Linked DNA regions of Sus scrofa. The protein of the gene in region 2 purifies or fractionates together with the protein of the main gene of each other region. This does not show direct contact. Links are inferred from orthologs where the notes say so. Each region holds a gene or a part of one and is shown on either strand. Other genes may lie near its edges.

Region 1 (7,344 bases), on a different chromosome or scaffold from region 2:
ATCAATTCCCTGTTCAACATAAACAAAAGAGTAACACTAGAATTTGAAAGTGGTAAATTATGAATTATTAAACATTTACATTTTATTTAAAAGAGGAAAACATTAAAAAATATAGCATTAGTCAAAAGGTATTAAAATACACTCTATAACTAAAAATACAAACCCAACTAATTTTCTTTTTTTAATTGAAAACAATTCATCTGGATATGAATAAATCACTAAAAGCATCTCAGTGATTTAGCGTCCCTTATGTTCCAGAATTTAACATGAAGTCGTAAGCATTTACCAAATTTGAGAAACCTCATTTTGTTTTTATTTCATGTAAGCCTCTAAAAGTTACAAATGTTTATCTGTGGACCAGTACATGTTCCCTCAGTATTAGAGTTTGGCAACAATGATGGCTGATTCTGAGAAGTAGGCACAATAAAATACAGGAGTATATTTTTTAGGTTCTAACCTTCTGATATACAAAAGGTAGTTGTTTTGTTTGTTTTGTTCTGACTACACCCGCAGCATGCAGAAGTTCCTGGACCAGGGGTTGAACCCACACCACAGCAGTGAAAACACCAGATCCTTACCACTAGGCCACCAGGGAACTACACAAGGTAGTTTTATGAAGAAACAAAGATGAAAGCATCTATTCACTTAAAATTGACCATACAATTTTAAATATTTTGTAATCCTTTCCTTCATAATTATAAAATAAAGATCCATATAAATGAAAACATGAAAGTAATATTGTGTGCAACAGTGCTCTGTGAGGTAACTGGACAACATCCTGAACTTACGCTTTTTCACAAACAAGTTACATCAGGCTTTTATCAATATAAATTTTAACTCTCGACAATCTGGAATGCCCACTTCATTTCTTCTTTAAAGACATGCCAGGCCTACCATCCTACATTTAAAACAACTTCATAAAATAGCAAGTCCGATCAACAAAACAGCATTTTACACTGCCTACAGTTTCATAAAATTCACCACTCCCCTGTCAAAAAAGTTCCCAGCTGATATCCATTTCCATTACAGCTAAGTACTTTTAGAGAAACCTATTCACATGTCCCCAAAATGCCCTACAGTGTTATCCAGTCAGGCACATTAGGACACGGAGTTCCAGATTCCAAGCTACTAAGTGAAAACAGGCAGGGCAGTCTATGAAGAGAAGGCACTACTAGCTGGAGAAGACGTGTCCTCATCAAGAATTAAAGGTCCAACGTGTATCTGAATTGTACTGCTATAACTCTCTGTTCTTGTTACGACATCCTGCCTCTCTGGTTAATTGAAAACTATGCAAAATTAAACCCTGCTTTATTAAATGGCATTATTAAAGTAATAGATCTATAAATTTGATATTGGCACCCATCCCGCAACTGACAGGCAATACTCACTTAAATGTCTCATTTGACAATACGAAAAGCAAAAACATTTAGAACTTTTTATTCAAAATCAACGATACACAAATATGAACTATAATATTATGGCTCCCCGACACTCATCTAGTATTTTCTTGATTATCTAGATGAGGCACAAATATATCCATCATGATCTGATTACACTGTGCATCTGTCCCACTCTTCAGTCTAAGAGCAAAACAATTCAATTTTGCAACATCTAGACTCTTCCCTTTTCTTTATGATGACCTGTACACATAAATGATCAGATACCCAGTGCTCAGTGTTCAAAAGAAGACAGAGCAATAGGAGTAAAGAGGAGGTTAACTACAACGGAAAAAAACCAACATACTGGCCAATTATATCTTCCAGGACCTGATCCTAACAGAGGAAAAGCACTCAGCCTCACTTTTTATATCATTTATATCCTAATAACTGTGATGACCACCTTAGATATTTCTGATATTCTTTGCTTTAAACCAGACCAAGCAACTCTTCCCTAGAACCTCATTCCAGGCAAGCCAAATATGCTAAAATGTGGATTTTAAAAATCATTTTCCATGCTGAAGTATTTAGGCATAAAGAGCCATGATGTGACTTACCCTCAAATGGTCCAGGAAAAAAATATTGTGTGTGTGACAAAGAGAGATCAAATGATTATTTGGTAAAATGGTAACAGATGAATCTAAGTTACAGTGACATGAATAGCCTTTCTTTGTATTGTTCTTATTCCTGGTAGTTTTCTGTAAGTTTATAATTATTTCCAAATAAAAAAACTAAAACTTAAAAATTGGTGGAGTTTTCTTGTGGTGCAGTGGGTTAAGGATCTGGCATCACTGCAGCAGCTCAGGTTGCTGCTGTGGCACGGCTTGGATCCCTGGGCTGGAACTTCCACATGCCACAGGGCAAAAAAAAAAAAATTACATGTCATTCTATCTGAAATTAACAGTACATACAATTATACAGCAATATTTTTACAAATACAAAACAAGTTAAGGAAAATTTTAGTGGCATATGGGAAATCTGCACCATACCTACCAACTAATAATCACTGAGGAATAAATTTCAAATTACAATGCCATGGAATGATGTGGCTACGGTGACTTGAGTTAAAACCATAGCCAGAAAAAAAAAAAAAAAAAAAAACACAGACATCACATAGTTTGGTGTAAGTGCTTCACAAATTTAATACAGGCCTGCTGCAAAATGCAGCAAATCTACAATTCAAGTGGTATGTGTTATCTCTGGTTTGCAGTAAAATATAGACAAAATGAAAAACTTGCCCTATTACAAAACAAGCAAGATGTAGAATGTCTTGGTTTTGATGTTTTATTAAATGAGATTTTTTTTCCCCACTGCAGCTCAATTCACAACAGTGTATGTGAATCATCTTAAGAAATCAAGGACGGAGAAGAAATAGCCTTCAGGAGCAATGTTGCAATCTTTTCTCCTACAAGGTTACTATTATCCTGCCTGCCCATCACAATTTTGATTTCAAATGTTCATCATGCTTTCTTAAAACATAAGGATGCATCAGAAGAGCAGTAAGACTTGGCAAAAGTTCGCCAAAATTGTGAACTCAAACATTAAAAATAAAGGTTTGCAGCGAACAGTGAAATACCTTTAAAAGAGCTTTCTGCAGGAACCACCCACTTGAAAATCCTATAGTACCTTCCTCTAATTGAACGGTCCTTCTCAACTCAAGTAGTTCTAAACCTTAAAAGGGAAAGGGAAGGGGGGGGGCGGGTGTCACGCCAAGTATGGCCCCTTTCCAAAGAAAATTATCCACAAATGCAAAATTCTGCACATATTTCCAGGGACTTCCAGAACCCCGAGGCCATTATCCCAGCCCCCCTCCCGAAGAATATCAGCGTCGCGTCTCAATTGCCTCTGCAGAACAGCCCCCACGACACAATCCACGCGGCTCTCCCCGGAGGGACTGGAGGCTCTGTCCTTACACCGTGGAGTCTGTAACTGATCTGCCTCTTCGCCCGACTCCCTTCACCTCCGCAAGGTCACAACTGCCAACTACCCCTTTAAGCAGAGCCCTCACCGGAGTAGTTCGTAGGAGCCACGGCAGAACTTGCCTGTCATAGGATATATTTTGTCCCCCTCGGCCCCACCTACCTTCCCCATTTCGGCGCGTTACGTCTTCATCACTTGCCCATTCTACAGAAATAGCCACCGCCGCCGCCCCCCGGCGCGCCCCCGCCCCGCCGCTGCTCCCGCGCCCCTAGGCCCATTCCCCGCAGACCCTCCCAGGATGGGCCTCCCCCCCCCCCAGTTTCCCTTCCCCTCCCAACCTCCTCTCCGCAAGGACCTCCCCCCAGCCTTCCCCCTCCCGCACCGCCACTACCCCCGCTATCCCCCCTTCCCGGTTCCCACCCCCGCCCCCAAGACCCCACCTTCCCAGGTCCCTACTACCCTGGGGCACACACCCCCCCGCCACCGCACCACGTTCGCACCGGCCTCTTCGCCTTCCTCCCGGCTCCTCCTCTCCAGACACCTGTGTCGACCCACCCCCTCCACACACGCCCCCCCCAATTCTTTCGCTACCTCCCCAGCTCCCCGGCCCCCGCCATCCTCCTTCCCTCCCCCTCCCGCCCGGAGCGAGCCCGCGGAGGGAGGGAAGGCGCGGGGGAGGGGAGGCCGCGAAGGGGCCGCTCTTCTCGGGGTTCGCCGCGCGCCGCGAACCTGCAAAGCTCCCCAGCGCCCTCTGTCTCCTCCGCCAGCGGGGCGGATGTCGGGGTCTCCCGGACGCACCCCTCCTCCAGGGAATTTACCTTCTCGCCAGGGACACTTTGCAGACGGCTCCAACATTGGCAAACACTACAGAGAACTGACCCCACTCGGCCGCCGCCGCCGCCGCCGCCGCCGCCGGCTTCCACCCCTCGGGCTCCCCGCCCCCCGCCTCCGCCTGCCCGCCCGCCCGCCTCCCCGGCGCTCCCGCCGCGCCCTCCCGGGCCCGCGCCGCGCGCCCCCGCCGACGCAGCCGCTCCCGCGCCCCAGCTCGCCCGGTGTGCGCGCGCGCGCCCCTGGCCCGCCCCCCCGCCCCGCGGCCGCGCACCGGGCGCCCGCCCTCCCTCCCTTCCTTCCTCCACTCGCCGGCGCGCGGCCGAGCGCGGCCATTGTTCGCGGCGCCACTCCCGCCCCCTGGCGGCCGGCAGTCGGACGCAGCAGCTGCCGCCACGGGCGCTGCGGTGGTGGCGCCGGCAGGCCGGCCTCGGGGCCAGGGCCGGTCCCCAGGGACTTTTGGGAAGCAGGGCGAGCGAGTGCCCGGGGACCCCACCCCGACCCCAGGCTCCTGGTCTCCAGTCCAGCTGCCCGCCTCCTCGGCTGCAAAGGATGGGCCTGGGGCAGCCTCTCCCACACCTGCACTCGGCAACTGTCTCCCCCACCCAGTTGACCCACTGCTCCTTCCAGGCAGTGTCAGAACCCCGATCCCCCGCCCGTACCTTCCCCAGGCTCCGTCGCTGGCCCTCTCTGCTCTGCTGGGGACGCGCGACCATCCCGCGTCGGCTCTGGCCGCCGCTGTGCGCTGCACGGTTTAGCGGATCCTGCACCTTTCTCGACTGCGAGGAGGAGGGGGGCGGGGGAGAAGGGGAGGGGGTTGGCGCAACTGTCTCGCCCAGAAAACACTAGTGATCGGTAATCACCTGCTCTCCAAGAGCCGCAGCGTGGCCCGACAACCTCCTCAGCCACAAAAGAAATCGTCTGTGGTCACATAAAAAAGAAATCCTTCGAACCAATAAGGATGATCACCTTAGAACAGTGTCCTAGATCCTAGATTGTTGAGCCAAGGGTGCCAGAAAACTCGAATTCCTTCTTGATTCGTCCTGGTTTTGATGTGGGTTAGTGATGTCCGGATAACTTCAACCCAGTTAAGCCCAGTGAAATTCAACAGGCCACTGCACCATAAATTGCACCATAAATAATCCGGCAATAAAGTCTGGAAATAGGGTTATTATTGTATTTTCACTTGTCCATTTGCATTATTATTCCCAGGGTTCCCTCCCAGTGTCAGTTCTCCACCTGAGCAGTGTGGACTAGGCCTGTGATTTCAGACATCACCTAAAACCATAGGTCCCTGAGCAGCTGGGAAGACACTGTAGCTAGTGCTTAAAAGCAAGGGCATCTGAATTAGATAACCAGGCCACGTTATCCACTTACTAGCCAGGAGACCATGGGCATGTTAGTTACCCAATGAGTCTGTTTATTCTTTTGTTCAAGGGGAGATAACATGTGATAACATGTATTTAACTGTGATAGTATGTATACAGCCCTTTAAACAGAGCCTGGCATGTACTTGGTAAAATAATAGCTACAGCTGCATTTTCCCCCTAGAACTCTGTCCTAGCTCCTTCCCCTCTTTTCACCTCTGCTGGTTCCTTCAAACTTGGTGCATCCTCCCTAAATCTGCTCTAGTCCTTGAGTAAGGACTTCTAGCTGCTCAGGCCTTGCATTCAAATACCTGTTGAATGTTTTGAATGAGTCCATACACCTGCAGTATCAAGGGACAAGCCTCCCACCTGTGTGCCTCTCCTCAGCTACCTCCTCTCCCTGCAGTCCACCCTCTCCTCACCCAAGGAGCAAATCATCCTTCAAATCATTCCAAAATCACCTCCTTGAAGTGCCGGTCATGGCTCTGCAGAAATGAATCTGACTAGCATCCATGAGGACACAGGTTCGATCCCTGGCCTCTCTCCATGGGTTAAGGAGCTGGTGTCGAGGTGAGCTGTGGTATAGGTCGAAGAGGGGGCCTGGACCTGGTATTGCTGTGGCTGTGGGGTAGGCCAGCAGCTACGGCTCCAATTGGACCCCTGGACTGGAAACCTCCATATGCTGCAGGTGCCGCCCTAAAAAGACCAAAAAATAAATAAATAAAATCACCTCTCTAATTCCTCTGAGCAAGCCACACTTTTCCTCTGACTCTCTCCTCTGACTTAGTTGGTGTATCAGATTATTATTGAGCCTGACTCCACATGGCGAACAGTACATTGTTTAAGGCCAGTCTCTGTATCTCATTCCTCTTTGTTGTCCCAGCATCCAATAGCCAGTAAGTGGAAGTAAATGCCTTTGGAATAAATGGATGAGTTTACGCTTTTAGAAAGGACTCTGAAGTGGTCAGAAGTGTCATTCCCTCTAATTCGGGTCATTAAAATTAATTGAAAACTTTATCTCCACTGTAACTTTTTCTTAAAACTGATTTAAGTCTTTGGTTATCCACTTGTTAAGGAGACTATGAGCATGTTACATTTAAACCCCAAATACAATGAGTTTTTAGAAGCCATAATGGGGGGTTTCCTCAGGGCTCAGCAGGTTAAGGATCCTGCGTTGTCACTGTACCAGCTTGAGTCACTGTGGCAAAGGTTCGATCCCTGGCCCAGGATAGTTGCAGCCAAAAGCAAAAAAAAAAAAAAAAAAGCTATAATTATCACAGAGAAAGTTATTTTTAAGCATGAATCAGCACTTTCAATGGCTCAAGGTGTGTAGATAGCATCAGGGCATGAAATCACCTGAGTAACATGGAAATCCACACATCTTGGGATTTGACCTTACAGTGAAATGTTTATGTGTGAGTTAAAAATAATAGATATCTGAAGAGTGTTGGTCCTATTGGAAGCTGATTAAAACAAAGCAGCAAATTTATCAGTGTGTCTTTACCAGGTACCATTGCAGTCAAATATTCAACCATCAGAAAAGGATAATGCTTTCAAACTCATCATGGTCCTTAAACCAGTGAGCGTGGCCAGGAATCAAATCCGCATCCTCACAAATACTATGTCAGGTTCTTAACCTGCTGAGCCATAACAGGAACTCCCCTGAACATGTTTTTATCACGACACAGTATTTGTTTCTTCCAACATACCATCAGCTCCTTGAAGACAAGAACAATGGCTTCCTGAATCTTTGCTTCTGCAGCATCTAGCACAGTGCCTGTGCTGAACAGTAA
Region 2 (7,402 bases):
TCATCTCCCCTTCTTTTAAATATTGTAGTATCTCAGGGTCCAGTTCTCAGATCTCTCTGCTCTACTTATTCTCACTACCCTGCTGATCACCTTGAGGCTTGTGGCTTTAAATTCCACCTACACAATGATCATTCTGAAAAGAATGCCTCCACTAGCAACTCTTTCTGGCTCCCAACTGCTTCTGTCCAACACACTCCTCTCTGAGAGGCTCTGGATATGACCCTTCTGCCTGGCTTTTGTCTGGCCAACTCCTGCATCCTATAGATCTCAAGTCAAACATTCCTTCCCAGACACTTTAGAAGAGGTCCTGGTTTGATGATCTATCACAGCCCTTGTCTCCTTTATTGCAATTGCTAATTTAACGCACTGTCTTCCAAAAGAGACCATGAGCAACAAGAGCGAAGGGAGTAGGTTTATCATAGAGGCTCAATGATGAATAAATGAATACCAAAGTATCTGTACATCTCCATCATCTCCATGACTTGTCACATGTTTTTCTCTCCCAATACCTATACCCTTTGTCTACTAGGAAATTCCTACTCATCTGTGGGAACAATATATACTTCTTTTGAAGCTGAGGGAGCAGCTAGTACCTCTACATGGGCCTGCCACCCCTTGTCAGCTCCCATCATAGTGCTGACTGCTTTTTACACTAGTCAGTGAGCTCTTTGGGGAGCCAGCTCTATGTCTTACTCATCTCTGTATCACTGCCACCCAGTGGCAAGTGGTAAATTCTGAACACCTGGATGGCATATAGGGAAATGAGAGATTGAGTCACTAAAATTAAGCACTCCATCTTAAACCTCATTGTCTCTCTTTTTCTCATCTGTTGTTTTCTGTGCATCCTTTCTTCATTCATTCAGCAAATGCTTAGCAAGTGTCAGGCACTGTTCCAACACTGGTGTCCATATGTGAGCAAGACAAATCAAGTCCTTACCTGCACTCCACTGAAGAAACAAAGAAGACAACGTCCAAAAACAAATAATAGGAGTGGGTATATGATGACCAGATGGCTGGAAGTGCTACAATGAAATGATACAGGGGCATTTAGTAGGTAGGGGCAGAGATATGAGGGAGATGCTTTGATACAGCGGTCAGGGAAGGCCCTTCTTAGGAGGCAATATTTAAATCAAGCCTAGATGATGAGAAAGCCCATCACACTTAGATATGGGGGGGGGGTTCATCTCAGGCAGAGGAAACCCTAAGGCGGGCACCATGATGGCTTCTGGAGAGATAGCAAAAAGGCCAAGGAGACTGCTGCACAGTGAACAAGGGGAGCAAGTGGGAAGTGAGTCAGAGAGGGAGGCAGGTGCCACAGCACACAGACCATGAATGAACTGTGGATGTTATTCCACTTGTAATGGGAAGCTGAGGGTTCTCAGCACAGGGGTGATGTGATTGGATTTATGTCTTTAATGATCAATCTGATGCTATGCAGAGAACAGAGCATGGGGGCAGTTGTGGAAAAAACAAGCAGAGCATGAGTAGAGGTCAGGAGACTAAGTCGAGGCTGCTGCAGTGGTTTAGGGGAGCAATGCTGGTGGCTGGAAGGGCTTAGATCTGAGCAAAGGCACCATCTTTGCAACACCACTTAGTGTTATAGAGAGAGCTAGGCTGTCAAGCCACATAGATCTGAGATAGGCACCTTTCTTAACCTTTAATTTGTGACCAGAAAAGAGGAATGAAAACACCTGATTCACAGGTTGTTGTGAAGAGTCAATCAGACAAAAAGCATCCAGCAGGGTCTCCCACAGCAATGCCCCTCAGTGAGTGGTGCTCCTGGCCTACAATCCCCAATTCCAAAAAGCACTGAAAACTGAGGTTTACTTTATTTTCATTTGATTTGGTTTCGGTCAGTGTGTAGCCCCCCATCTAGACCTGAACTAACATGAGTTATTTAGAGTCTTTACCACACTTTGTTGTCTGCAGACAACATTTATACATTTCACTGCAGAAATGTTTTATGATAGACTGCTGCTCCACTCTAAGAGCATTAAATTACTTACTAGTTTTTAAAAAATCCATAAGTCCCTGAGTACCAGGACATACCTGACCTAAGGGTTTCAGATAAGGATCTGCAGCTGTGTCATTATTTTTAGGAACCAAAGTGTCATTTAGTTTAGTCACAACCATGAGACCATGCATCCAATTGCAGGAGGCCATAGATCTCAGAACACCAGTTATGGAAGAGTCCTTAGCAATTATTTAAACCAAAGTTCCATGGAATGCCCTAAATCCACAGAACTTTTACCTCTACATAACTGCTGATGTTCAAAATGACAAGCCAGTTTGAATTTAAGCAAAACATAGGTGTAAACCAATAAGGTGCTCAATTGGCCTGTTTGAAATAAGTACTTATGAGTTTGGAAAAAAAGAAACAGCAGGTTTCCTTTCAACTACATCTCATTTGAATATATGTTACCATTTTCCTAAAAGAAAATTCCATCATAATCACTAAAAATGTTATGTGTCCATCTTACTCTTGCCCAAAAGTTACTTTGCCTGTGCCTTGATTCCCTTACGGCAGACTGTGAACACTTACGGGTCAAGCCCCCTCCAGGGTCTGAACACTGCTTGACAAACAACATTCAACTAGTACCTGATGAATTAAATGAATAAACTACACATCCAGTGTTACGGATCTTCAGGTTCAAATACGGAAAGAGAAGAACAAGGGCATAAACTGCTCAAGATTCTAAGTTCCTAAGGGACAGCAGGGAGTCTCTTAACTTCTGATTGGCGGGTCTCATACTCTGGAACTCAAAAGAGAATGTATTAACTACCACTCATTAAATAAAGACATAAGGAATATCTATTATGTACTAGGTTATACTAGTGAACAAAACCCTACTCTTGTGAACTTACTAGTGGAGGCATATGGACAAACCCAATAAAAAGTGTCACAGGATGATAAGTACTATATTGAAAACCAAGGCAGAATAAGGGGGACAGCAAGGGAAGAGTGGGGCTTCTTTCACATGCAGGTTGTTCCTGGAAGGCTGCTCTGATAAAGTGATATTGGAGGAAGTGAGAATAACACGAAGGACTGGTCCACACAGGTATCTGGAAGAAGAACCTTCCAAGAAGACACAGGCAGTGCAAAGGCCTAGAGGCAGCAGATAGTGCTGAGCTGTGCTCCAGGAACATCAAAAAGGCCTGCGTGGTCAAGAATGGAAGGAGCACTAAAAAACACTGTGTGGGATTCTGATGAGATGGGAAGCTACTGGGGAGCAGAAAGGGGTTGTCTTGTTCGGACGTGAAGTCAGGTTCCCGTGGTGTTGAGAGGCGGTGCGGGGGTGGGGGTGGGAATGGAGTTGGAGCTGGGGGGGGGGGGCTAAAGATGGGCTTTTGGGAAACAGTTGCGACAGTCCAGGCAAAAGACTTTTGGTCAGGGATTATTTAGCCAATTTTTTGGGCAATTCAGGCCTCCGTATCTCCCATCTGTTGTCTCTCAAGGATGGGGCTTTTTCGTTTTCCACTGGTTGTCCCTGCCCCCAGCCTGCGTCTGGGCAAGTGATTACTTGCTCTGCTAAAAAGATCTTCGCGGGAGATGAATGGCTTTGGTTCCCACCGCGCTGCATAGTCCCTCCCCAAATTCAGCAAACGCCCCACCTAAGGCCTCGGACAGCGCTCCCAATGCAGCGGCTCAGGGGTCAGGGGTCTTACCAGGGTCCAGTCCCAGGCTGGGGATGCAGGATGGCGAGCGCCCTTGTGGCTCCTGGTTGTCGGCCCCTCGCCACTCACCCGCGCTGCTGCAGTCTGTGAAGCCTGGTGGGATCTGGGCCGCTCACTCTCAGTTTCGTTTTCCCCGCGGACTCCGCCTTCTTCCCCCGCCGCACGGGCCCCTCCCGCACCAGTCAGCACTTGTCCGCGCAGGCTCCGGGATCGCGCGCCACTGGCGCCTGCACCCGGAGTTCCCGCGGGCGGCAGTGCGGAGCCTGCTGGGCACCCGCCGGCCGCTGCTGCGCGGTAGAGCGCGTCCGGGTCCCTGCGGCCTGACCTGGTCTTCTCATGCTGCTTCCGGCCCCCGTGGCGGGATCAGTCCGCCGGGATGTGGGGAGGACCTTGAGGTCTCCGAGGCCCACTGCGTGGCGGGCGCTCCCTGAACTGGGCTCTTCAACGCAACATTTGGGACGGCGTTGCGGGGAAGGATGTCATCAGCTCCATTTTACATTAGAAACTGAGCAAATTAACTGTCCCAGAACAAAGCAGGATTCTATTACTCTTAACCACCAAAGCACCCTGCCTCTTCCTCACATTCACCAGGCTGGGAATGAAGAGGTCTGCTGGCATAATCTCCCTTCAGTCTGTTTCCAGCCATCCATCCATTCATTCAACGATACTTGCCAGCCTTTGTACCAGCCAGTCCATCAGTTAGAGCCACTTGCTCCCCGCGCAACCTCCTGGAGGTTTCGACCAAAGTTCTTACCAGAAATCCCAGATTTGTAAAAAAAAAAAAAAAAAAAAAAAAACCTACTCACCTAATGGACTATGACACCTTCCCAAAGTAATACTGGTGCCTCGACCAAATGACTGAGGAGTGCTGAGGACTTACCTCACAACAGTTCTGCAAGGTAGGTCCATTATTATGCCCATTTAACAGATGAGAAAACAGGCCTGAGGCACAGAGAAGTAACAACTAGTAAGCTGAGGAGCCAGAATTAGAACCAAGAGTCTGTACCTCAGCATCCTAGCTAGGGTGAGTAAGAGAGGTGGTCCCAAGGTGGACTTCAGGTACACATTACCTATTGGCCATTGACTCCAGGAGTCCTTTCCCACTTCTCTTTTCTACCCCCTGTATGACAGGATATCAATGGCTAAACACTGCATTTTCCTTGATTTAAGTTCCCCCAATGTGGCACACTGATGGGAGTTTGGAAGGCAGGTAGGAGGCAGAGCCATCTTTCTGTGCCCTTTGAGGTCGCAAAAAGCTCTAGCTTTAGTGGCTCTTTGAAGGAGTCCACTTACCAGCTTCGTGGGTGTGGGGTGACTGTGACAGCCACAATGGCAGTAGCAATGACAAGTTTTCTGACTTTTTGAAGCCTCTGAACTGTCCAAGAGCTTAAGGAAAGAAAATGACAAGCTCAAGCATGGTCAGAGGCCACAAATTTTTATGGTTGAGGGGAAAATCTTCTTACTTCTTGTAAGCCTCAGGGCTGATAGAGCAAAAATCAGGTGCAGAGTCTAATACTACAGGGTAGCAGAAATACTATATAAATTTTTGTTGTTGTTCTTTTAAAGCTTTATTGAACTGTAGTTGAGTTGTAATGTTGTGATAATTTCTCCTGTACAACAAAGTGATTCAGGTATACATATATGCATAACCATTCTCTATTAGATTCTTTTCCCTTATAGCTTATCACCGAATATTAAGTAGAGTTCCCTGTGCTAACAGCAGGTCCTCATTGACATTCTTTTCCATTACAATGGTGTGCATATGCGGGAGTTCCCATCGTGCGCAGTGGTTAACGAATCCGACTAGGAACCATGAGGTTGCGAGTTCGGTCCCTGCCCTTTGCTCAGTGGGTTAACGATCCGGTGTTGCCGTGAGCTGTTGTGTAGGTTGCAGACACGGCTCGGATCCTGCGTTGCTGTGCTCTGGCGTAGGCCGGTGGCTACAGCTCCAATTCAACCCTAGCCTGGGAACCTCCATATGCCGCCTGACGGCCCAAGAAATAGCAACAACAAAAGACAAAAAGACAAAAGACAAAAAAAAACAATGGTGTGCATATGCCAATCCAGACCCCCAGTCCATCCTCCCCCTGACCTTTCCTCTTTGGTAACCATGAGTCTGTGAGTCTGTTTCAATTTTGTACATAAGTTCATTTGTATCCTTCTTTTTAGATTCCTCAAATAAATATCTTACGATGTCTGTCCTTGACTTACTTCACTTAGTATGATAATTTCTGTGTCCATCCATGTTGTTGTACATGACATTATTTCATTCTTTTTTTATGGCTAAGTAATATTCAATTGCATATATGTACCACAACTTCTTTATCTTTTCTATTGGTGAATATTTAGGTTGTTTCCATTGTCTTGACTATTATAAATAAGACCACAATGAAACTGCGGTACATGTATCTTTTCAAATTGTGGTTTTTCTCTGGATAGATGCCAAGAAGTAGGATTGCTGGATCATAGTAATTCTATTTTTAGTTTTTTTTTTTTTTTTGAGGACCCTCAATACTGTTTTCCATAGTGTTTATATCAATTTGCAATCCTACCAACAATGTGGGACGGTTCCCTTTTGTCTGCATCCTCTCCAGCATTTATTGTTTGTAGACTTTTTTTTTTTTTTGACTGTTCCTGCAGCATGTGGAAGTTCCTGCACCAGAGATCTAACCTGTGCCACAGCACGAACCCAAGCCATTGCAGTGACAATGCCTGATCTTTTTATCCACTGTGCCACAAAGAACTCCTGTTTGTAGACTTCCTGATGATGGCCAATGTAAGGTGACACCTCATTATAAGTTTGATTTGCATTTCCCTAATAATTAGCAATGTTGAGCATCTTTTCATGTGTTTTTTGGCCATTTGTATGTCTTCTTTTGAGAAATGTCTATTTTAGATCTTCTGACCATTTTTTGATTGGGATGTTTTTTGATATTGAGCTGCATGAGTTGTTTGCATATTTTGGAGCTTAATCCGTTGTTGGCTACTTTGTTTAGAAAGATTTTCTCCCATTCTGCAAGTTGTCCTTTTGTTTTGTTTATGGTTTGCTGTGCAAAGTTTTTTTTTTTTTAAGGATTTTGATTTTTTTCCGTCATAGTTGGTTTACAGTGCTGTGCAAAAGCTTTTAAATTTAATTAACTCAAAATTAATTAACTCAATTAATTATTTTTGTTTTTATTTTCATTACTCTAGGAAGTGGATCCAAAAATGTGGGAAGTTCCCATTGTGGCCCAGTGGTTAATCAGTCCGACTAGGAACCATGAGGTTGCGGGTTCAATCCCTGGCCTTGCTCAGTGGGTTAAGGATCTGGCGTTGCCGTGGGCTGTGGTGTAGGTTGCAGACAAGGCTCGGATCCCTCATTGCTGTGGCTCTGACGTAGGCTGGCAGCTACAGCTCCGATTGGACCCCTAGCCTGGGAACCTCCCATATCCCAAGGGAGCGGCCCAGGAAATGGCAAAAAAAAAAAAAAAAAAAAAAAAGACAAAAATGTGTTGCTGCGACTTATGTCAAAGAGTGTTTTGCCTATGTTTTCCTCTAAGAGTTTTATAGTATCGACTTTACATTTAGGTCTTCAATCCATTTTGAGTTTATTTTTGTGTATGGTGTTAGAGAATGTTCTAATTGCATTCTTGCATGTAGCTGTCCAGTTTTCCCAGCACTATTTACTGAAGATACTATCTTTTCTCCATTATATATTCTTGTCCCCTTAGTCACTGATGAGTTGACT
Region 3 (7,545 bases), on a different chromosome or scaffold from region 2:
AGATCTGAGCCAAGTCTACCTATACCATAGTTCACAGCAATGCTGGATCCTTAACCCACTGAGCGGGGCCAGGGATCGAATCCAAGTGCTCATGGATACTAGTTAGGTTCATTACTGTTGAGCCACAATGGGAACTCTGATGTTGTTTTTCCACTCTATTTTCTGTTTCTTGATAGCCTTGGTTATGAGTTCTAAAATTAGTTTCCACCAATATCTCAAACTTAAAAAACAGCTTAAATGGCATGAGTACACAGGACAAGAATCTGAGAGTGAGAAGCCGTTATCTAAGCACTATCTAAGCCGTTATCTGGAGCACTTCTGTGGCACTGGGGATACAGATATAATCCAAAAGGTTGGCATTCTACTTGGGGCAGACAAATCAAAAGAATACTTTGGGAGTTCCCATCGTGGCGCAGTGGTTAACGAATCCGACTAGGAACCATGAGGTTGCGGGTTCGATCCCTGCCCTTGCTCAGTGGGTTAACGATCTGGCGTTGCCGTGAGCTGTGGTGTAGGTTGCAGACGCGGCTCGGATCCCGAGTTGCTGTGGCTCTGGCGTAGGCCGGTGGCTACAGCTCTAATTCAACCCCTAGCCTGGGAACCTCCATATGCCGCGGGAGCGGCCCAAGAAATAGCAACAACAACAACAACAAAAGACGAAAGACAAAAAAATAAAAATTAAAAAAAAAAAAAAAAAAGAATACTTTAAGTGCTACCACACAGGTAAGAATAAACTGCTAATAGAAGCTCAAAGTTCGGGAGTTCCTGTCATGGCTCAGTGGAAATGAATCTGACTAGCATCCATGAGGACACAGGTTTGATCCCTGGCCTCACTCAGTGGGTTAAGGATCTGGCATTGCCGTGAGTCATGGTGTATGCCACAGATGAGGCTCGGATCCTGCATTTCTGTGACATAGGCTGGTGGCTACAGCTCAGATTCGACCCCTAGCCTGGGAACCTCCATATGCATGAGCAGGGCCCTTAAAAAAAAAAAGAAGCTCAAAGTAGGGCCTAGAGAAATGAGTAGGAAACTGTCAGGAGATGTGAAGTTTCTGGACAGAGATCTTAGCAAAGAATAAAATCTAGGGACTGCACACAGGAAAATAAGACAGTGATAAGGAAATAACTAGGAAATAAGAGGTGAAATATATGGGAGGGAAGGAAAAAGACACTCACTTTGATATATAATGGATCATTTTATCAGTCTCTCTAGTTACAGCCATTCATTAAGATTAGTTCAAGGCTTAGGAGTTCCCATTGTGGGGCAGTAGAAACAAATCCGGCTAGCATCCATGAGGATTCAGGTTTGATCCGTGGCCTTGCTCAGTGGGTTAAGGAGCTCTGGTGTAGGTTGTAAACGTGGCTCAGATCTCCGCATTGTTGTGGCTGTGGCCGACAGCTGCAGGATGGATTTTACCCCTAACCTGGGAACTTCCATATGCTGCCGGTTTGGCCCTAAAAAGGAAAAAAGAAAAAAAAAAAAAGTTTGAGGCTCAAGAATAAGGAAAAGCTCTTCTGGGACAAAATAAAACATAAAATGTGCCAGGAGAAAAAGTGTTTATGAGTTCCCTTGTGGAGCAGGGATAAGGATCCAGCATTGTGCCTTGGGTCACTACTGCAATGCCAGCTCAATCCTGGCCCAAAACCTTGCAGAAAAAAAAAAGTATTAGAATGTTCCACTTGTGCCTTTTGCAGGGCTTCCTCTAGGTTTTGCTTTAAAACTTATTTACATGCTTTTCTCATCCTCTCTAGCAGATTAGAATTTCCTTTGCAGCAGAGACCATATCTTTATCACTTAATATTCACAAGGGCACTTCAAAAACAATCTGAATGAGGCTTAATCTATTACCTCCAACTCCCATCTCCCTTAATTATAGTAACAGTGCATAATACCTCCAGTTACTGTGGTACCACCTCAAAGCCATCACTCCACACATCTGTAGCCAGGGACCAGCCTGGAGCTCTTCAATCGCCCTCTCATTCTTATCTTTCTTGTCTTTCACCACTGAACATAGTTCAATCCTTCATTACTTTCATTTGGTTAGTATCCAAGGTAATATTTTTCCAGCCAACTCTACTCCCACACTTCCAGAATAACTTCTCTAAAATACAGTAAATTTACTCTCCTACTTGAACTGTAAAAATGTCTCACAAAAAACAATTGATTAAAAATAAAGTCAAAATCCCAGCATAGCATCCTGCTTTTTCTGCTCTATTTTCCTAAACATATACATATCCACCCCATTGGTCACATTGAACTATTGAATAGTCTTAGGATTTGCCTTTTGTTCCACCTGGATGCCTTTGCTCACGTGACTTTCTGTACCTTTTCAACACTATACTTCCTCTCCAGCATTTATAACTAACTTTCTGCTTTACAGATGTTTTCATCTTCTTTACTGGCCCTAGACCCCTTGGGAGCTGGGTCTTCGTTTCTGCCACACAACTGCTATCCATCAATATCCCTGAAGGCAACATCCCACACACATCATAGCCCCACGCCCTGATTAAAACAGGTAATAATTATTTGCATGTTCCATGCTCACCTCTCTCACCCTTCTGTCCCACGTTGAGATAAAATAATAAATACTTGTTAAATTTAAATGTTTGGACAAAAACGATGGGATACGGCCACATTTTAGAAAGCATATTCTAAGTCTTTCCAGCAGTAAAATCCTGACCCAGCTTCAGAGCTACTCCCCACTGAGATGTCTCCTTTTGACATTCACACTGGAGCCTCATTTGAAGGAATGCAGCACAAAACAAGGACAATGCCCTTTCTCATCTCAGGCGAGAGGGAGGCGGGGGCACGGGATCTTTAGACACGCCCAGCAGCTCTCTGACCTGCGGTCTCCCTCCACTTACAAGTGCCCCCTTGTTCTTTTCCTAGCGTTGTACTGTTCACAACGCGCGATCGTGTTAACTTCATCTTCCTAACAATCTTGTGAGGCAGAAATCCTCATCTCCCTAAAGAAACAGAAGATCAAAGGGAAGATGGAGAAGAGAAGAGGCGTGGCAACGAGCCGCGGCGGGGAAGCGGGTAGAAGCCCGGAGCCAGAGTTGGATTTTGTTCCCGGCTCAACCCTGACCCGGCCTGTGTGTTTACCCGCAGCGGGAGGCGCGGGGCGGGTGTGCAGAGGACCCTAAATCTCTCTCACAATCACACTCGGGATGCTAAGCCACAGCGAAAAGGGCGGCGGCCCAGGCTCGCTTCCTGGACGCCCCCAGGGCTCCTCGCGTGCTCATCCTCTTAACTACCCTGCCGGAAGTCCCGCCTCGCCCACCCCTCATTGGGCCCGGCGCCGGAGTCTCGCCGCGGGTTGGCTACCCGGGGGCATGAGCCCTGGGCGGCCACTGAGGGCCTCAAGCAGGGGACCAGCTGCAGACCCGCGGAGACGCGGGGTCGAGCGCGGGAGGCGGGGCTGGGGGCACGGGACCGGGAGCTCCCGCGGCTGGCGGGACTTCCGCCACGGGACCCGGAAGCGGCCGCGCAGCGGCTGGTGGGAGTTGTAGTCCGGCCGTGGTTTGGGGGGGCCCGCGGCTCATGCGCGGTGCACCGAGGCTTGTTTCACATCTGTAACAACAGGTGAATTGGGCTTTTTATTCTCCCCTTTCGTGCCCCCTTGAGGAGCCGGCCGCGGCCGGGGGTGGTCGGCGCGAGGAGGGGCTCGGGTCCGACCGCCGGCTTGGCGGAGAGTGGGGTGGAGAAGCGGGCTGGCCCGTGAAGCAGGCCGGGCATCCTAGGCCTGCCCGGGAAGCCGGCCGGGCCGAGCCCTGGCCAGCCAGGCCTCGGCCTGCCGTTGCCATGGAGCCGGGGCGGGGGCGGGGGCCAGACCGGTCCGCTGGGGCGGGCCTCGTAGCCAGGGGCACCGCGGGGGCCGCTGGAGAAGCCGCTTCATTGGCGCAACAACGCCTCCGCCTCAGGGGATGCTCTGTTTCCCGAGGTAGGGCCTGGAGGAAGCCCCCGGAGTGCCCTGGGACCTTTGTCTGCCCCCGTGCCGCCTGGACCGTTCGTCCAAAAGGTGGCCTGGTGCATTCTGGCCCCCCTGGTTTGCCTCCTTTTGCACCGACCTTTTTACTGGGGGAGGCCAAGGGGTGAAGTGTTCTTTGTTTGCTGGTGGTGACTTGCCCCATTTCGCAGGGGAAGACCTAATGCATGTTGGGTCCTTTGTTTGCAGTGAACTGAAGTCCCAGGGGTCCTCAGAACCCTCGAGCCAGGAGTATGGCGTTAGCATGCTGTCTAGCTAGTCGACGTGTAGCAACACTGCTCACTTTAATTGTGATTTTGCAGGGCAGAGATTGTTCACTTTCCAACCTCCATCTACAGGGGCTTGTCATACACTGTAGCAAGTGGACTGCAGGTGGCCAGTTGCAGATTCTAAACGTGGGTTTTAGTTGCAATTTACTAGCCAAAGCGAAAAGAGCATTGTTTGTTCGTTTCCCTTGCAGTTTCTTTGAAGGCAGTAACCCCACTGGCATAGTGGGACTTGACTGCATTTTATAGTTTACACTTAAATCTTGGAATCTTGGAGTTTCTGGAAGGAGAACTCTTTTCCTGATATAGTATTTGGGATTTATTTAGCGCTTTTTATTTATGTAGCTGTTTTAGGTGCAGGAAATACATCCTTTGCTGCATTTTCTGTGTAGGTTGTCCCTTTACCTCCAAAAGATACTTACTCTCCAACTGTTTTAAAATATGGAATTGTGGTCCAAAGTTTATCAGTTGGACCTTCTTGCCCCTTTCAGCCTTAAGATGCCAACACAGAATATTCTTTCAAAGAGTGAACCATGGGACATCTAGGCAACAGCGTGATAACATGGGAATAAGTAGTATAGTATAGCATGGAAAACTTTGGAGCTCAATCCCTTAACTGCAGATTTGCATTGTGCCTTGAGACAGTTATGGGATGTTGGGCAAATTGTATAAGTTTCTCTTCTCTGGGAAAATCTGCCTCAGTTTCTTTCCCTGGGAAAGATATTTCCTACCTCACTGGTAGTTTCATAGCTTGAGTGAGATAAAGTGTGTGGAAGTACTTTGTAAGCTGTAAAGATGGTACTTAACATTTCAGTCTTGATCTTTTCCCGATTGGAAAAGCTTTTTTATCTACCTTAGAATAGGTTCATATTATAGTCATATGGAAATAGAGCTCAAAACTGAAGCAAGTATTGCTCTGGGCTTGGAGACGATGCTTTCAGGACTACATGTCCCTCTTTACTGTGACATAATCTTTCTTGGTGTCTTATAGATGCTGATGTAGGGCATCACACAATTTGATGGGTCTGGAGTGGGTCATGGCAGGTTCTGAAGTGAGGCCAAAGTGTATAATATGTGTTTTCATGCCACTAACAAAACTTGTCCTTGTTGTTAGAGTTAGTAAATGAATTTCAATGGTCCGGAGCAACTTTCTTTCCCTGCGGGGGCCATCACTTTAGTGACCCAGCATTGTACTTCCCAGGAGGAGGCCCAGCCTCGTGATGAGGAATAGCAAAGAGAGAATTCAGCTCCAGTTTAAAAGCCTTCAAAATCTGAGACTGTCACTGCTCTTGTAAGGTAAGTTGATCTAGTCATGCACACAAAGTAGTGGTGGGTCTCAGGCTCAGCCACACTATAAAGCAGAAGGCATGTATTAAATCCATTTGTGACTGTCTTGGAAGAAGGGTATCATTTTAAATTAATCATTATAGACTCTGTCTTTGAATCATCTCATAGTGTCTCTATCTGGAGTTAAGTGGTGTTTCATTATGCAAGAAATTTTGACATAATGTTATTTTACTTATCTCTAGATTATTTAAGAAAAACTCTAAACAAAGTTTTCCAACATAATACTGTATAACAAGGAAGACAGTTTTCTTTTTAGATCTCTTTGAAATGTTCTAGGGCTTTATAAACTAATCTCTAAAAGATCCTATCCTGAATCTCACAGTATATTTTATTAAGACTTATACAGGAAAAGATAGTGTTACATGAGCCTTTGTTGGTGTGGAGAGGATCAGGGACTTTTTAAAAGCAAAATGAGTCTGTTTACAAGCAAAATAGCTTTTACAACTTCATAGCTAGAAAGTATTGTTTTTTAATTAATAATCACTTAGATGTTTTAGATTTTATAATACTCAGATTTTTCTTTAAAATTAGAATCTCAAATTATACCCTTTTTCTTTTAATGTGGGTAGAAGGAGTCTATAGAATGTAACTTATTAAAGTAAATTGTATCATTGTTGATATTGTATTGAAGTTTTCTTTCTGAGCTACCATATCCTATCGGCTGAAATTTCCGGCATCCCTGGGGGAGAGGAGGCCATCAGGGCAGACCTGCTATGGACCTGAAAGATTCGTCCCCAGGTCAGCCCTCCACCCCCACCTCCCCACAATTTGAGAATAAGAGGGAATAGTAGTCAGGAGCAGGAATAGGCCCCATTAGACTCCTAGTAATCTTGGACATCATCCAGATTTGCTAAAATGTTGTATAGGTGTTTTTAAACTAAGGCCATATAGGGTTACTCCATCAACCCAGGAGTACTACAATATTAAAAACATCTGTAAGTCTGAGTTTGAGTGCTTTGTAAAACAAAGTTGTTAAAGCAGAGGTGTTCTTTATTGTGTGTGTGTGTGTGTGTGTGTGTGTGTGTGTAAGTCTGTAGGTATATTCCTCAGTTAAATGTGCTAATGGAAAAATGCAGCAAAATTTTTGGCCAATAGTTAAACTTTATCTTAATATTTGTTATTTCATAGAGACGCCACCATGAAAGGCTTTTTGTTTCAAATCACTCTCCATTTACTCTTTGATACTGTCAGTCAAGTTCCATTCCTAGGGTCTTGACTAGGTTTTGTGAAAGCCCAATATACCAGTTTGTCCATAAGGCAAACATCAGTCCCATTTCCTGATGGCACATGAGAAAAAGGGTCCATGTAGAATTTTATTTCTTCCTACAAGTCCTAGGATAACTGCAAGTATTGTGATGAGGTGGAAGTATATGTCTCTCATGATGAGATGCACCCCCTTCTGTTCCTTCTATTTGGTAGGGTTCAGGGAGTTTAGGACAAAGAAAAGAAGAAAGCCCTCAATTAGAAATAAAGATGTGTAATTACTTTCTAGTGGAGATGGCTCTTCCTTCCCTAAGACTGGGAGCAGCAGTTGGGGCTCATTAGTAAAGAACTTCATTTGTCTTGTCTTTTGGACAGTGCTTTCTGTGTTACTGAAGTCTTCTTTGTGGGGTTCCTGGGCCAGAAATATTAACCATTGCCTCTTGGCCCTGTTTCTTCTTAGGATTCCAGCTTTCACTCCTGGCCAGAAATGTTCAGCCTGGACTCATTCAGAAAAGGTAAGAATGTAGTTATATGTAGTAGGCCCTTCCTCTCTGTGATAGGTGGCTGTGAAAATCCCTCACCAGTGTGTAGTCCTTGGACTCCCTCTTTGAGTAACTTTCCAAAGTCCTTTCTCAGCCTTCCTCTTGCTTGGTGCTTGTAATATGTGCCACCTCCTCTACACCCAGGTCTTTGTGTACATTTGCCCCCCCCCACCAGAATGATCTCTCACACACATTTAC
Region 4 (7,262 bases), on a different chromosome or scaffold from region 2:
GAGCTGTAGCTGCCAACCTATACCACAGCCACAGCAATGCCAGACTGGAGCTGCATCTGTGACCTACACCACAGCTCACAGCAATGTTGGATCCTTAACTCATTGAGCAGGGCCAGGGATCAAACCCGCATCTTCATGGATACTAGCCAGGTTCGTTACCAATGAGCCACAACGGGAACTCCGGAGCTGACTTTAAAACGGCCTGAACTCTGAATGCACTTTCCTACCTACCCACAGATCCAGCTGCAGAGGACTGAGTCCTTATGGGCTCCAGGTATTTACTGAAGCACTGGCTGACCACTAAGCAACACAGACACGTGGAAGACAGGAATGATAAAATGAACCAAATTGGGAATATTTATTCTTAAAGTATTTAGCCACCAGGAAGTGGTTTTCTTGCAAAGTGTGAGGAAACTCTAACTTTTCCATGCATGAAATCACATGAAGAGTCCTTGAGACTACATGAAAAAAGAGAGAGATGCCTGGCCAGCCTATAATGCTGTTTCAGCTCTAGCCATCATGAGACTACAACTGTCTAAGAGACCTTGAGTCAGAAATGTCCAGCCAACCCTTTCCTGAATTCCTGACTCACAAAATCTGTGAGAAGTTCATAATATTTCCCACAGAGGGAAACATAACTTACATGAATCATCAGAATTCTGAGAAGGTGGCCAGAAAGTTGCCCAGTTATCCACAAACAACTCTAATCCAACTACCAATTACCAGAAATGGGCAGGTTTCATATTGGACATTAGGTGCTTAGAAAATCATTGGAAAGGCTGAAGGTGCTAGAGTTGAGCCTTCCAGAAATGTCTCTATGAACAATGCATAACTGTTTCAATAGGTGAGTTAAAGCTTCTGAGGCCTCCATTGAAGCCTTGCTGGCAGTAAGCAGCTTCCATTGTCACTGCGCATGCCTCTTAACCTATGAAGCTGGAGAACGGATGCAGGAACACTGATGAAGGAAGATCTCATAGTTCTACCACCTTTCTTATTTATTTGTTTATTTTATGGCCATGCCTGTGGCATATGGAAGTTTCTGGGCCAGGGACTGAATCTGAGCTGCAGCTACGACCTACCATACCTCAGCTGCAGCAATGCTGGATCCTTTTAACCCACCATACCAGGGATCAAACCTGTGCCTCCACAGTAACCCCTACTGCTGCAGTCAGATTCTTAACTCACTATGCCACAGCAGGAACTCCTTCCATGACCTTTCTTGATAGTAACTATAGCCAACAGCCATAGGAATATGATCTTCACAGCATTTCTATCTTTCAGCTCTTATGAGAAGGCAACTGATTTACAGGATTTAATTTGTATCCCTATAGTAGATAAGCAGAGGATGGGGCAGAGGCGGAGAGATCTAGAATGTGAAGTACAGGGTTAATTTTCACAAGGTCAGTGAAGCAGAGCCAGTAAATCTAGCCTTATCAATAACTAAATCAAATGTGAATAGTCTAAATAGCCCACTCAAAAGGCAGAGATTATTAGAGGATTAAAAAAAGCAAGATCTATTCAATGAAAGTCTATTTAGCAATAAAAGGAATGAAGTTTTAATACACACTACAATTTGGCTTAACCTCAAAATATGCTGAGTGACGGAGTTCTGTGGTGGCTCAGTGGGTTAAGGATACAGCGCTGTCACTGCTGTGGCTTGTGTAGCTGCTGTGATGCGGGTTCAATCCCTGGCCCAGGAAATTCCACATGCCACAGGCACGGGCAAGACAAACCAAAACCAAAACCAAACATATTGAGTGAGAGAAGCTAAATGCAAAATACTACATATATATGATTCCATTTATACGAAAAGTCCAGAAAAGGCAAATTTACAGAGACAGAAAAAAACTAGTGGTTGCCTACAGGAGGAGGTGAAAGTGAAGATTTAATGTAAAGCGGCACAAAAGAACTAACTGGAGTGACAGAAATATTCTAAATTAGATTAGTGCCATACAACCCCATAGTTTTACTAAAAATCACTGAATTGTACAGTTATTTTTTTTTTTTTTGTCTTTTGTCTTTTGTTTTGTTGTTGTTGTTGTTGTTGTTGTTGCTATTTCTTGGGCCACTCCCGCGGCATATGGAGGTTCCCAGGCTAGGGGTCCAATTGGAGCTGTAGCCACCGGCCTACGCCAGAGCCACAGCAACGCGGGATCCGAGCCGCGTCTGCAACCTACACCACAGCTCACGGCAACGCCGGATCGTTAACCCACTGACAAGGGCAGGAACCGAACCCGCAACCTCATGGTTCCTAATCGGATTCGTTAACCACTGCGCCACGACGGGAACTCCTGAATTGTACAGTTATAATGGGTGAATTTTATGGTAGGTAAATTATAACTCAATGAAAGTGCTAAGAGAAAAAACAAAAAACCAAGTTGAGTAGGACTTGGTATTACAGGTTATCTACCTAGACCTCAGATAAATTATTGGACAAAGTGAGGAAAGGAGAGAAATGTTCAAAGTGACAGTGTGCACACACAGACAGTTCACTTTTCAGCACACAGATGCTGTGTTCTCTGCTTCAGGGTATGCCTTCTCTGTTCCTTGAGGACAAAGGTCACTTCCTCTTTGTGCACCTTCAACTCTTAGATATTCCTCTTTAGTGCATCCACTACATTATACTGCAACTGTTTTGGTGTCTGCTTCCTGGACTAGACTACAAGCTCCTCAGGACAAGGACAGTATTTTCCTCATCTCTGTGGCTCTGAGGACAGCCAGTCTTGAGAACAGAGCAGGTGTCAGTGAATGTCAAATGAATGAAAGGAAAATTGCTGAGGTTGAGGGCGGAGGAGAGGCAACTTTGTGCTAAATACATTTGAATGTATGAGGATGAAGGAGACAGGTGCTCTATACTAATTTAAGAGTCAGACTGGACTAAGAAATATTCATCAGGGTATAGGTCTGCATACCACTCCAAATTTAAACATCTTCCTAGACAAAAATTCCATTTATCCCAGGGCAATCAGTTCACAAGCAACATATTTACTTTCCAAAATTAGTCTGCTCAGCAAGTAAACAAGCCTTTAGAGAAATCTGATTTCCCTGCAGATTACCTGACAGGATTAGCACAAAGGCCCAGTTTGTGTACTTCTGGGTTAGTTAAGCAGATAGCTCTGCTGACTGTGAAGGGTGTCACATAGCAGGGTCAGGGCAGCTTTTTCCATCCTCCTTTTTCTACTCCATCTTACTCAGTGCCAAGTCAACCTGGGAAGCTTCAGTCCAGAAGTGGCCCCCTGGGTAGCCTTGTGTATCCTGTTCTCCACAACACTGGGATACAAAGAAGCTGGAGTCAAAGTATATCCTGGTCAGGTTCTCAGGCTCCTGGCCCACATCTCTGAAAAGGGACCCAGCTGGTGGAGACAAGAGATATCAAGAAGCAGGGGGTAGGCCAGGGCTCGGTCACCAAGTCCAGGAAGGACAATGGTGTAAGGCCTTCTAGGGCCCTCGGAAGTGTAGGGCATGAGAAGGGAGGCAAGAGACACTAGGACCGGGAAACCTGGAGATTGGTATAGTGAAAGGGCTAAGAGTCTGGCCAGGCGAGGAAGGTTCTGCAGATCTGAGACGGTGATGACGGCACGCCCAGATGATTCCAGTCCTGGAGTTTAGGAAGATATGCGCTCTGGTGCATGAAGAAGGCGGGGGAAAGAATCCCACGCCCGAGCATGAAAAGGCCCTTGATCATTTGCACGCGATTCTTGGGGTGCCGCGGTCTCGATTTTCAGTGGAGCTACCCACGGCGCTCGGGCCCAGGTGGGGTGCACGAGTCAAGGGAGTCCCGGGGCGCGTCGCGCAAGGGGACAGGTCGGGCGCCAGGGGGTGTGACCGTAGACCCGGGGGCTGATCCGCATTCTCGCCCCGCGCTTCCGCCACTCCCGAGGAAATGAACAGGCGGGCGAGGGGATTCCTGCCTCTGAGACCCCCGGACTCACCTGCCTCCCTCCCCACTGGTTGGGCCCCGGACACTGCTTCCCAGAGGCGGCGCGCCCTCTCGCGGTCGAAGCGCAGCGCATCCAGCTCCCGGCCCTCCCGCTCCTCCGAGCTGTTGTATAGCTGGGCCACGCCGCTGTCCGCTGCTTCCACTGAGCCCAACGCGGGATACTCCATCTTCCCCGCAAGCTCTAACCTGCCGATAGCCGCTCAGGAACGTGGGTCTCGCGAGATGTGGGTGGGAGGGTGACTTTGCCCGGCCTACAAATCTCGCGAGGTTTGGGCACCGCAGACTACGTTACAGTGCGGGAGAGCGGCTACCTTTTCAACGCTGCTGCTCGGACATCGGAGGTTGTGAGTGGAGTTGGTCGCGGCTTCCACGGCAGCCCCCTCCCTCCGGGACAGGCTCGTGCAGTCCTTGGCTCAGGTTTCTCACATTGCTCACGGTCAGCTTTTGACACTTCTCGTTTCATACTCATGAAAGCCCTGTTATGTGGGAATATATTTGTTTCACTAGTAGGGAAACTGAGGCCCAGAACTTAAAAATGGCTTACTCAAGAGTTCGTTCCTAGTAAGTGGTAGAGCTGGTTGTCCATTTCCATGATTCGATTACTATTAATATTACATACCATTTGAGTTCCAGGTACTAACCCCCAGCCTAGTCTTCCTGCTAAACTGTACTCCAACGTAACTGTCACAAGCTGAAATTTATTCCAACCGCTGCGTCTGCTCCTTCTTCAGTCTTTCCGAGCACTCTCTCGCGCGACAATTATTTTAGCATCCTCACCGGCCCTTTCGTTTATCCCTCAGGTATTCTCCCAAAACAGCAGCGCCAGAGATCCTCTTTTATTTTATTTATTTATTTATTTTTGTCTTTTAGGGCCACACCTGCTGCATATGGAAGTTCCGGGGTTAGGGGTTGAATCAGAGCTGCAGCTGCAGCTGCTGACCTACGCCACAGCAACTCAGGATCTGAGCCGCTTGTGCGACCAACGCCGCAGCTCACAGCAACACTCGATCCTTAACCCACTGAGCGAGGCCAGGGATCAAATCCGCATCTTCATGGATCCTGATCAGGTTCTTTTTCGCTGAGCTACATGGGGAACTCTCAGAGATCCTCTTTTAACAAGCCACATGGTGGCACCCCGGCGCTGAAATTCTCCAAAACCTTCCTATCTTACTCTTTGTAAAAGTCGAAGTCCTTGGTTTAGCCAGTAAGGCCTATACAGTATGACTTCTCTTAACCTCCCTGACCTCATCTCCTGTTGTGTTAGCTTCCAGCCCCTTCATTCCTGTCCCAGTTATCCTGGCCTTTTCCCCATATAGCCTTGTGGCTCTTCTCTTTATTTCCTTCTCTGGCTGTCCTAGCTGAAATTTTGCCCCTCCACATACACTTCATATCCTCCTTTCCTGCTTTTTTTTTTTCTCCTTAACACTGACTGTTATCAGATATGGTATTGTTTTAATCTTGTTTATTGTTTCCCCACTAGAAGGCATGCCCCAGGAGAGCAGAGATTTTTGTTTATTTTGCTCTCAGCTGAATCCCCAGCATCTTGAAATAGAGCCTGAATCTTCATAGGTACATAGTATATATTTTTTCAATAGTGAAACTTTTGATATAAAGTTATTTCAAATGCTTATTGAGAATTTACTATGAGCTAGATGTTGTTTTGGGCATTGGAATACAGTGGTGCACAAGATAGATGCGGAAGCTCTATCTTGCTTTTTATTCTAGTGAAGGAAAGTGTAATAAGTCAACAGATAGTGCTAACTGCTAAGGAGAAAATAAAACAGGAACACACATTGGGTGAATGATATGGGAGGAACATTAGTCAAAGTGGTCAGAGAAAGCTTCTGAAGAAATAGTTGACCTAAGACCTGATTGGTAAGAAGGGGACACCATGCAAAGAACTGGGGAGGAATGTTCCAGGAGAGGAAATAGATGCAACGGTAGGAGTGAGCTTGCTGTGTTGGAGGAACAGGAAAAAGGACAGTATGCCTGTATTCCAGTGAACAAGGTGGACATTGGAGTCGTGGTGTCAGATGAGGAAGGAGAGAAAGAGATTTTTCTTATCTGAGATCACACAACTCATCAGTGGTATTTATTTATTGAGACTGCAAATAGTGAGCGCCAGCTCTGTGTCAGGCCTCATGTCAGGCTCCAAAGCTTCCAGTGCAATAGATGACTGGTGTTTGTGCAGAGCTTTATAGTTATGAAGCACCTTTAACATATAGGAGTTTCCACTGTTGGACAGTGGGATCAGAGGCATCTTGGGAGCTCTGGGATGTGCGTTCCATCCCACCACTGCAGCTCAGATCTGATCTCTGGCCTGGGAACTCCATATGCTCCAGGGCCACCACAAAAAAACAAAAAACAACAACATACATTGTAACATTTAATCCTCGAATCCTGGGGGTGGTTCTCTCTTATGTAGATTCTTTCTTATTTGACAATAAAGGAAGACTGAGAGAGGTGAAGGTTTTGTCAGGACCATACAGCTACTTAGCCACAGAGCCCATACTTGAACAAACTAGTCCTCAGAATGCAAATCCATGTCTTTTTGCCAATACCACATGACCAGCCTAAAAACCCATTATTGTATATTACTTATCTTAAAAAAGATTTCTAGTTACCTATATTTGTGTAGCATGAGTTATTCAGGTAGAAGTACCAAGGGCATCTTTGTTAAAATCCTGTAACTCGAACGTATATATATTTAACACAATGGAGCAAATCTTGAGAAAGGGGTACTTATGATGCTATATGTATTATTGGATAACAGTCCCCCACCTCCCACTCCCAATCCAATTAGATGCTCAAAATAATTTCCATTTATTCTCCAATGAATGTTGTCTTGATTTGTCCCCCTGTGCCACTGAGGCAGAGTCCTGAGTTACAGCACTGAGTGTCTGTAAACAGCCCATGTCATCAGTTTTCCGCTTTGTCTCTTTGTGAAAATGCTTCTAGTATTTGTCCAGGCCTGAACTCCTTGTTGAAAGACCTGCCTAGTATTTGTGGGGCTGACTTTAATTTCTTCCCTGTGGAAAATGAGAACCACTGCTCAACATGTTCTACTGTGTATTGTTGCTATGGGAGAAGAATAATATGAGGGAAATGGCTTTGCCAAGGGACAGGAACGGGCCACAGTTCACCAGACATTTCAGTTGAATAAACATTGATTTTGTGTGTTCTTGGGCATGCCAGCCCACATTACAGAGCCTAGTAAAATATGATTCCTGTGCTCTGGGAAATTAAACTCTGGAGATGAAAGTATCTACTAGAGGGGTTCTTTTTTGGCACAGTGGGAAGGGATCTGGTGTTGTCTCTGCAG

What was found.
Region 1: the proteins of EIF2AK2 (region 2) and STAU2 purify together in Homo sapiens (affinity purification with mass spectrometry; 3 studies listed by BioGRID and IntAct, with this or other methods). This does not show direct contact. The link is inferred for Sus scrofa from reciprocal best matches to the Homo sapiens genes EIF2AK2 and STAU2.
Region 3: the proteins of EIF2AK2 (region 2) and DHX30 purify together in Homo sapiens (affinity purification with mass spectrometry; 3 studies listed by BioGRID and IntAct, with this or other methods). This does not show direct contact. The link is inferred for Sus scrofa from reciprocal best matches to the Homo sapiens genes EIF2AK2 and DHX30.
Region 4: the proteins of EIF2AK2 (region 2) and ZNF346 purify together in Homo sapiens (affinity purification with mass spectrometry; 3 studies listed by BioGRID and IntAct, with this or other methods). This does not show direct contact. The link is inferred for Sus scrofa from reciprocal best matches to the Homo sapiens genes EIF2AK2 and ZNF346.

The regions. Positions count from the first base shown.
Region 1 is NC_010446.5:62,137,100-62,144,443, reverse strand, and holds the start of STAU2 (double-stranded RNA-binding protein Staufen homolog 2), read right to left. Parts: upstream 4,299-7,344; 5' UTR 4,175-4,298; exon of another isoform or gene 4,086-4,174; intron 3,909-4,085; exon of another isoform or gene 3,816-3,908; intron 3,656-3,815; exon of another isoform or gene 3,519-3,655; intron 3,108-3,518; exon of another isoform or gene 3,013-3,107; intron 1-3,012. UniProt on the Homo sapiens protein: RNA-binding protein required for the microtubule-dependent transport of neuronal RNA from the cell body to the dendrite.
Region 2 is NC_010445.4:103,037,619-103,045,020, reverse strand, and holds the start of EIF2AK2 (interferon-induced, double-stranded RNA-activated protein kinase), read right to left. Parts: upstream 3,993-7,402; 5' UTR 3,667-3,992; intron 1,023-3,666; exon of another isoform or gene 938-1,022; intron 1-937.
Region 3 is NC_010455.5:30,598,690-30,606,234, forward strand, and holds the start of DHX30 (putative ATP-dependent RNA helicase DHX30), read left to right. Parts: upstream 1-3,349; 5' UTR 3,350-3,586; intron 3,587-3,819; exon of another isoform or gene 3,820-3,944; intron 3,945-5,369; exon of another isoform or gene 5,370-5,456; 5' UTR 5,457-5,551; intron 5,552-6,233; exon of another isoform or gene 6,234-6,315; coding exon of another isoform or gene 6,316-6,340; intron 6,341-7,265; coding exon of another isoform or gene 7,266-7,320; intron 7,321-7,545.
Region 4 is NC_010444.4:80,891,430-80,898,691, forward strand, and holds the start of ZNF346 (zinc finger protein 346), read right to left. Parts: upstream 4,149-7,262; 5' UTR 4,108-4,148; coding exon 3,933-4,107; intron 1-3,932.